Arabidopsis thaliana: one gene and its partner. The protein of the gene in region 1 interacts with the protein of each later gene in a pairwise test. Each region holds a gene or a part of one and is shown on either strand. Other genes may lie near its edges. The genes, in order: AT5G49400 and AT5G27860.

Region 1 (4,113 bases):
ACGATTAAACCGTTATGTTCCTAAATAACACCTCTAGAGAATTCCTACGAAAAAAAATTCAAGAAGTTGAGGGATAGAGAGTGAGAAACAAACCAGTTATATGCAATTTTTGTTTCGGCTAGGCATTTTATCGAACACTTTGTGTGCAATATGAGCTTTACAGGTGTATCAACAACAGAGATTGAAAAAAGGTAAAAACTTTTCAAGGAGAACACAAAGTGGAAGCTCCAAGCTTAGACTTTGTACTAGTTTAAAACTTAATGCAACTTTGGGAGAGAGAGGGATCAGTCTGTGAGGAAGGAGACTGGGGACAGAGTCACAGAGATAATTAATGCAACTATTTCTGGAAGATAAATTACGGATATTTACAAAAGAAGCCCTTGACTTTATTACACATATTTGTATGTTTCAGGGGATGATTTTAATTTTGTTTGAACTGATTACTTTCCAATTAGTATTGGATTGATGTGGTTATTATTTTTTTGTTACAGAGTATCTAGTACATAGATAATTTCCATTGAATGCCAAAAAACCTCCTCCATCCTTCGAATATATGCATGCTATAACCAACAGTCACTAAAATCTCTCTATCATAACAACACAAAGGTATTTCGTTTAGGTTTACAACATTCTCCAAGGAGCTATTGAGCTATGAAAACTTGAGGAGATTCTAAAGATTTATCAGTTTGTTACAACATAAAGCCATAAATGGCTGACAAAAAGAAAAAATCGAACTTGAAGAAAAAGAAGTAACATAGCAGTGAGTTTCCTTTAAGAAGCTTAAAATGATTCTAAGGCATGAAAATTTTCATCCACTTATCGATTTCCTAAAACCAATTCAACGACGCTTGTTGCTGTGCCTCTTGCTCTTCTTCTTTCTTCTGCTTCTATCTTCATCAGAATCTGAGTCCGAAGCTGATTCTGACTCAGATGACTCCGATGAAGAAGAGCTGTACCTTCTTCGCCTTTCTTTCCTCTGCTTTTGCTTCTTCTTGCTCTTCTTGGCCTTTCTTCTCCTCCTCCTTTCGTCCTCTGAGTCCGACGATGAACTGTATTCTGAACTACTCTCTCCAGATGAGCCATCACTATCTGTTTCAAACACAGAGGCTTCACTATCACTTTCAGAATCAGACTTTGACCTATGCTTTCGCTTACTCTTCTTAGATCGCTTCTCAACTTCTGCTTTCCCATTAGTTGCATCAGGCCTTTCTTCTTCATCATCATCATCACTACCATCAAGATCATCAACAGAAGGCTTCGTTCTCAGTTTAGGATTCTTAAGCTGCTGAGTTCTCGAAGGCCTCGAGATATAAACCCTTTCATTCTTACACTCATAAGTCCAATGCCCAGCTTGGAAACATTTCTGACACTGTGAAGCCGCCGAAGCACTGCTTCCCACGGCTGAAGCTGACATTGTTTTATCTTTCCTTTCACCAAGCCTGACAGCTTTCTCAGTACTCATCAAATACATCTGCCTCTTTAATTCTCTTTTCTCCTGCCATCTACTCGGACCTTCTTCTTTCTGGCCATAAGCGTTAACGTTTCTCGCTGCTGCAGCCGCTGCTCTCTCCGCTTGTGTACGGCTTAGACCTTTAGCAGCAGTGAGTGTTGCAGCCTTGATTCTATCAGCTGCATCTTGTGATTTCTCGTCCTTTGAATTAGACATGTTTCTGCATTGCATAACAAAGAATATACTAGAGACTTAGAATCAAATCTTCAAAATTGGACAAATAGAATCAGTATAAAGCTGAACAAAATAGACAAATTTCGAAACCCTAAGCAGGGGATCTAAGATTAGGGATTCTACTTGATGGAGACGATTCAATAAACTGGGTTTTCGTTAACTAAACATCACAATATAATTCGATTTCTAAATCCTTACGATTATATACGGAGAAATCTAGGGGAAGTTGCTAGAATATCCACGGAGAAACTAGGGTTTATCGATCTAATTGCTCGAATACAAGATCTACACAAACGTTGGAATAGGAGTTGAAGAAAACTTACAATTAGAAACGAGCGTACCAAGAGGAAGATCGAAGGAGCGTGCTTGGAATGGATGAGCCAATTTGAGAGTGTGAGAAGGCGGCGTTAGAGCGAGGAAGACGAAAGAGAAAGACAAAAGATTATTCACAAACTCTTTTCTTATTTTCTCTCAAGTCCTTCACTCCTTTTTTATTTCCTTTTTTTCCTAAAATTACAAATTGTTTCTCTATGAAGATATATCAAATTGAATTAAATAATATGAATATGTGTGAAATTTCATCGTTTGAACTTTGAATTATTTAATTATACTGTATGATGCAAATAGGCGCTTTTTGGTGTTTGTAAAAACGCTTGAGTTGATGATATCAATTAGAGGTAAATGGTAAATGTGGACATCAAGAGAAACGGAAATTATCAAGACATCTACAAACAAAAACAACCCATTACCTGTTTCAAAAAAATCTGATATATATACACAGAAACACCTGCCTGAAATTATCTTAAATCCTCGGGTGTATGATGAAATCCTCCAAGTCTCTCTTTAAGAAATTGTAATTTCATTTTCACACAAGATTCATTTACAAAATGCAATTGCATAGTCATTTACACGGATCATCGAGTTGTCTTCAAAAGCATCATTTTAACCCTCTATACACAGTTTCTTCTATTCTTCAAAAATCCTATCTATTGTCAAGAATGTTAATCTCAACATCTCTTTACATCTGCTTGCTGTCAATTTCTTCATCTAAACTATTGCTATCGTCATTAGCTCCTTAGAGTTCTCCAGGTTCCTTAGCTTCACCACCTTGTTCTGGGGTGTTCTTATTTCCTTCACTTGTTGAACTGAGCTTCTGTCTTTTACTCTTCTCTAGCTCATCTTCGTCATCCTCATAATCAACCAAACCTCCAGACCTCTTGCTATATGATTAATAGAAAACAGAAAGCAAATCTATTAACTATATTTGTTGCTTCTAATGAATTTCTATCGAGAGAAACCAGAAACAAATACCTCGGAGAAACAGAACTTGCAGCTGTGACACCAGGATTATAGGGCTCAGCTACTTCCATCGGTGTGATAGAAGTAGAACTTGCAGCTGTGACATCAGGATTATAGGGCTCAGCTACTTCCATCGGTGTGATAGAAGTAGAACTTGCAGCTGTGACATCAGGATTATAGGGATCAGCTTCTTCCATCTGTGTGCTAGAAGTAGAACTTGCAGCGGTGACACCAGGATTATAGGGCTCAGCTACTTCCATCTGTGTGCTACAAGTAGAACTTGCAGCTGTGACATCAGGATTATAGGGCTCAGCATCTTCCATCTGTGTGCTAGAAGCAGAACTTGCAGCTGTGGCATTGGAATTATGGGGATCAGCTTCTTCCATCTGTGTACTGGAAGCAGAAGCTGGCTTTTTTTCATCCAGAGCACGCCCATCTTGTCTCATATCAGATTCATCATCAGTGGTGCTCTTTGGTCCCTAAGACAACATTGACACATTGTTAAACAAAGAATAGTTTAGGAAAACTTTTCAAAGTAGAAGTTAGATCGAAGAATGATACCTTCTCATATTTCGTTTTCAAATCCTTGATGGAACGCAGGTTCTCAAATGGAGCTAGCTGGTCCCAAAATGTATCACCTACGTATTTGACCAACACTGCATATTCCTGCACACAAAACAGTAATATGTATTATGTACAGAGGAACACCCCAAAGAAACAGTGAAGAAAAGGATGAAATAATAGGAACCTTGCGTATGTGCTCAAGAAGCTCCAACACAGCAGCAGTCATCAGGTTGTCCCGATGACGATTAGCAACAAAAACTTCGATAATCGGTTTCAGCGTGTTGTTCTCAACAATGTAACTCTGGACATTATCATTCTGAAATAGAACAATATTTTAGAAATTGCATAACTTACCTAAAGACTTATTGTCATCCGAGAACATTTTCTAGCCATTATAGAATCAATTGTCTAATTCATTCTCAAGAGAGAATGCACAGATGAGCCTATAAGAAAAAATGCTGATCGAAGACTACTTTACTTACATGGACAGAGAGGAGAGTGCGGACAAATCGAACAGCTGCAGCCACTAGGGTTTTTTCCTTTCTTCGAGTGAGAAGCAAAACCTT
Region 2 (4,567 bases), about 10 Mb from region 1:
TGAGCTGTGTTTGATATGTTGTGACAGGTTCTTCTTAGAGGACCAAAGAACTCGCGTGAAGCAGTGAAGCATTTCGGACCTGCTCCTGGTGTGCCACACAGTAACACTAAGCCATATGTTAGGCATAAGGGAAGGAAGTTTGAGAAAGCTAGAGGAAAGCGAAAGAGTCGTGGATTCAAGGTCTAAGAAGATGTTTTCTGGTTTCGTTTTGCTTGGTTTAAGTATCGAAGTTTTGGTAGGGAACGCTGGTTCCTCTTTACCCTGTTCCAGACTTTGTTTTAAGTTCTGTTTTTCTATTCTCAAGACAATTGGATATTTTGCTTTGTCTTTTAATCTTACTACTATTAGCTGCAATGAGATTTTATCTAGAATTTGGATTTGATCAGTATTTGGAGTTCATAGTATCATTATGGTCTATTTCGTTTTGTATTTCTCTTCCTTGGAAATAAAATATCTGTACATGAGTATTAAAATGTGTAAACAACCCTGAAAAATGTTCTGTTTCGTACTAACCCACCTAATTCGTTGTCTATTAGGTTCTAGCAAAAATCGTATATCCATAATCATAATGAAGCTTGTCAAATAAGAACGCATCAAGTCTTCTCAGCACAAGTGGATGTAATCCAACAACATTGGAACACAGCTCCATGGTAACAGGAGATGGCTCGAAAGTTCCATACTGAATCTTGCAAGTTGGAAATGGTTTTAATGTACGCACGGATAAAATCTCAGTAACCATTTCTCGGGTTTCCAAGAAGAACAGTGTGCGATAACACAAACTTTAAGACTAAACAAGAAAATAGAAGTAAAACAAATCCATGACAGGATTAGTCCTCTGGAAAAACAAAACAAGGATCTGAATCACCAAACAGATACGGAAACTAGAATCTAATCAAATACCATCTTACATTCTTCTTGTTGTTGAGATTCTGTCATCGAGACAAAAGCGAAAAATACTAGTCGAAACTTGCGTTTAAGAACTTAAGCAGTTCATTTCTTTTGCTCTCTGCAGCTTTGTCCTCTTTGGACTTGTCAACCTTCAGCAGAATCTATAGCCAAACACATCAGAAGAAGGAAGTGAGAAAAGAAAACAGAAAATAGTTGTGTAGGGTGTAATATTAGACAACCCTAAAGAGAGTCTCAGACTAACTTTTTTCCCTGAAACAGCACTTCTACGTTCACCATCGTCTTTGTCGCGGTTCAAAAACTGAATCATGAAAGAAACTGAATCATAAAACATGGACTTCATATAAACTTTAGATCTTTATGGGTATATATAGCTATAGTACCTTTGATAGTTTTACAGGCCCGCTACTTCCTTCTCCTTCCCCTTTCTATACAACACTCACATTGCCAGGACCAAAAAGATAAACACAAACAAAACGAAGATAACACAAAGTCCCCAGTTTATCATGTCACCAACCCCAGCTCCAATTTCGAAGAGGCCACAGAGAAAGGCAAAAGAAGTATTATAAGAAACTTGTTATCTTGATGAGAATCTATTCAAAGCGTAATGAGAAAATAATGGCCAACCTTTCTTTCTCTGTTCTTATGCCGTTTATGACGATGACTCTTGCTTCGTTCCTTATCCTTAGCCTTTAAACAAAAAATGGTACTTTTAAGCTAAACACTATAACAGAGAAACTTCACATGATTAAGAATTGAGTACAGAAAGTAACCTTCTTTGGCTTTTCATGCTTCTTGTGCCTTCGTGACTTCTCATGCTCACTATCTGAGCTCTCACTGAGACAAAAACGCAAATATCACACTCTTAGTTTTCTCTAGTTTCTATTTACATCAATCAATTAATCCAGTTCCACTAACGAGATTCTAATCCAGTTCCATCAAATCAAACCCTAAACCCTAACATTCGACGAACAAATTCAAAATGTGAAACCAAACAAGAAACACAAGCTAGATTCTGCTTAAATCAATCTTTAGAGTTCCACTAACGATAATCTTATCCAGTTTCCATGTAACCAAACCCTAACCCTAACATTCAAAGAACAAAATCAAAATGTGAAATCAAGTGCTCCGATCCAGAAATGAAACCAAACGGGAAAATTAGGGTTTTCAATCGTAAAATTGGGCGAGAGAAGTTGACGAGAAATCAACGGACCTGGAGGAATCGGAGTAAGAAGAATCAGAGGAATCGGAGGAGTGTTGGCGTCTACGGCGTTTTTTCGAGGTGGATCGGCTCTTTTTCCGTACTTTGAGCGAGTCTCTGTCTCGATCGTTTCTACGATGATGACGGCGATCCTTACGGCGACGATGAGAGTCTGAAGAATCAGAGGAGACGTCGGAGGAAGACGAAGATGATGAAGCCGCCATTGTTGAGAGGACAAATCAAACAGAGAAAATTAGATCTTAAGGGTTTGGTCAAATTTATTAGACAGATATTTATTTAAAATAACTATAGGGGCTAGTTATAATAATTAAGTTTTGTTTCGGTACGTTTTATAAATCATTAAGAGATTAAGGAGTTGATTGCTATTACCGTTTTATTGAATTTTTAGGGTTTTTGCCCTTTTCTTTTTTCTTTTAGGGTAATATTACAAACTAACTATGAAATGGAAAAGAATTGAGAGAATGATCTTGTGTCAGAAAATAGCATTAGCTTTAGTTATAAAGTTTATATGTATTTGTTTAAAATAGCATGATATATTTACAAAAATTATGTAATTCTTTTAAATACATAAACGATATATATACACTATATATATATTTTTCTAAAATAATGTGTTTTTCTGAAATAGTATGATATATTTATAAAATGCATGCAATTCTCTTATAAAACACGAAATATTAGCAAATATATAGAATTGTTACAAAATTACATGGGTTTTTATTGGATAACATGATAAATATTTACATATTTCATGGGGTTTTGTTAGACAAATATTATATGTGACTTTGTTAAATAGCATGGAGTATTAATAATATGAGATCCAGTGGACAAATAAACAACAAAGGTTGAAAGTTTCAAAGAAATGAAGAGATTCGTGATAGAGGAGGGAGAACTAGAAGGAGATGGGTGGAGAGATTCGTCGACGGCATACGTATAAAGAAAATTCAGAAATATTGGCGAGAAAATTTGTTGGAGAGAGAGAGAGATTTGTGTTGGTGAGAGAAAGAATAGAGAAGTATGTTGTTGATATGCGATGGAAGGGGAAGTTTGCAAGCAAGAAAGAAGAAGAAGGTAAGATCATGTGTGGTTGAGGATAAAAATGTCATATATTGTGTCTAAAAGTGTTTTCCTCTCTCATAATTTTCAACCATAGTTATTTACTTCATTCTTGCAGTCAAAGGTCATTTAGTATATATATTTTTTCTTTTACTACGAAAACATCAATTTTCTGTTCTTTAACTTTTTTTTTCCGAAGACAACTTGTAAGACCACCTCCAACGGGAGGGACTATGAGAGTCCCTAAAAAAAAAATAAAAAAATATATTCTAATGTTGTTATTATATTTTAATTTTTTAATAGAGTTTGACTACTAAAAAAGCTACATGTATATATTTGGTGTTGAGACTGTTCCTTAAATAAGGGTTTTTGGAGCCCCTCTCTCCTCTGTCCCTCACTTTTTAATTATTTTTATTATAAGGGACTCACAATAGATACCACCATTGCTGCTGCTCTAATTCCTACCAGTGGATCTCACGTCTTCTCGAATATATGGACACACCACTGTTGGGCGGTCGTGTCACGTTCTAAGAAGTTTTAAAGATTTGTTATTGGCCCTACAAATTATTCAGGAAGGTCACCTATCCTGAAATTATTCCATCCAAACACTCTTAACTGTGGGGTTCTCTTAAGATCTTTGACCGAATTTTGGTGACTTAGGTGACCAAATCATTTTTTTTAAACAGATTTCTATTCGTTGATTAGCTTTTGTAAAGAAGTTATGTATGTTGATCCAAGCAAGGGACATACATGATCCAAAATTTCTAATCATACACAATAACATCAGGTTCAACCTAAACTAAAGCAAAGCAAGCATATACGTCTAAGTGTAGTGGCTAAATCAGAATATATACTATACATAGTGATTGCCAAGTTTGAGTCATAAGAGATGTAGTACTTTTAGATCTTTGAAGATTTGAGCTAATGACGATGATAACATGTGATCAAGTTAAACGCTTCATCATGGAATATTCTCCTTGGTCTTTTGGTATACAAAAGTGTTTCCAAGAATTACAATGACATATTTTTTATGGGAATTGTTAATCGCAGGAAGTGGAAGTCACTTTAGTTAAGCTAAATAGCTATATTTATAGTATTATTTTAGTTCGTATTAATAAATCCCTCTCTTAATAATAATATTTTTTTTTGCTATTCATCGGACAACTAAATGCTTTTAACGAATTTTACATTTAATGTTTTTGCTAATTTTTTAGCTAAACAATGACAACCAAATACCTCATATTCATCTCTAGAATCCTATGACAATGTTATTGCTGCATGAGTCTATTACTTACTTGCTAAGGGACCCGAATGTCCTCAAACACCATGGTGCAGTCAAAATTAAGTGTTGTATATTGTATGAAACTTCTATATATGAATAAA

The links.
Region 2: the proteins of AT5G49400 (region 1) and AT5G27860 interact in a two-hybrid assay, tested with the Arabidopsis thaliana proteins (one large-scale study listed by BioGRID).

Annotation. Positions count from the first base shown.
Region 1 is NC_003076.8:20,028,707-20,032,819, reverse strand, and holds AT5G49400 (zinc knuckle (CCHC-type) family protein), read right to left. Parts: upstream 2,169-4,113; 5' UTR 2,008-2,168; intron 1,671-2,007; 5' UTR 1,667-1,670; coding exon 839-1,666; 3' UTR 537-838; downstream 1-536. Other genes in the region: AT5G49390 (serine/threonine-protein phosphatase 4 regulatory subunit-like protein), read right to left, coding at 2,760-2,904, 2,996-3,462, 3,545-3,649, 3,732-3,863, 4,030-4,113.
Region 2 is NC_003076.8:9,874,112-9,878,678, forward strand, and holds AT5G27860 (uncharacterized protein), read right to left. Parts: upstream 2,390-4,567; 5' UTR 2,332-2,389; coding exon 2,120-2,331; intron 1,744-2,119; coding exon 1,680-1,743; intron 1,597-1,679; coding exon 1,534-1,596; intron 1,335-1,533; coding exon 1,290-1,334; intron 1,208-1,289; coding exon 1,151-1,207; intron 1,050-1,150; coding exon 957-1,049; 3' UTR 607-956; downstream 1-606. Other genes in the region: AT5G27850 (Ribosomal protein L18e/L15 superfamily protein), read left to right, coding at 28-186.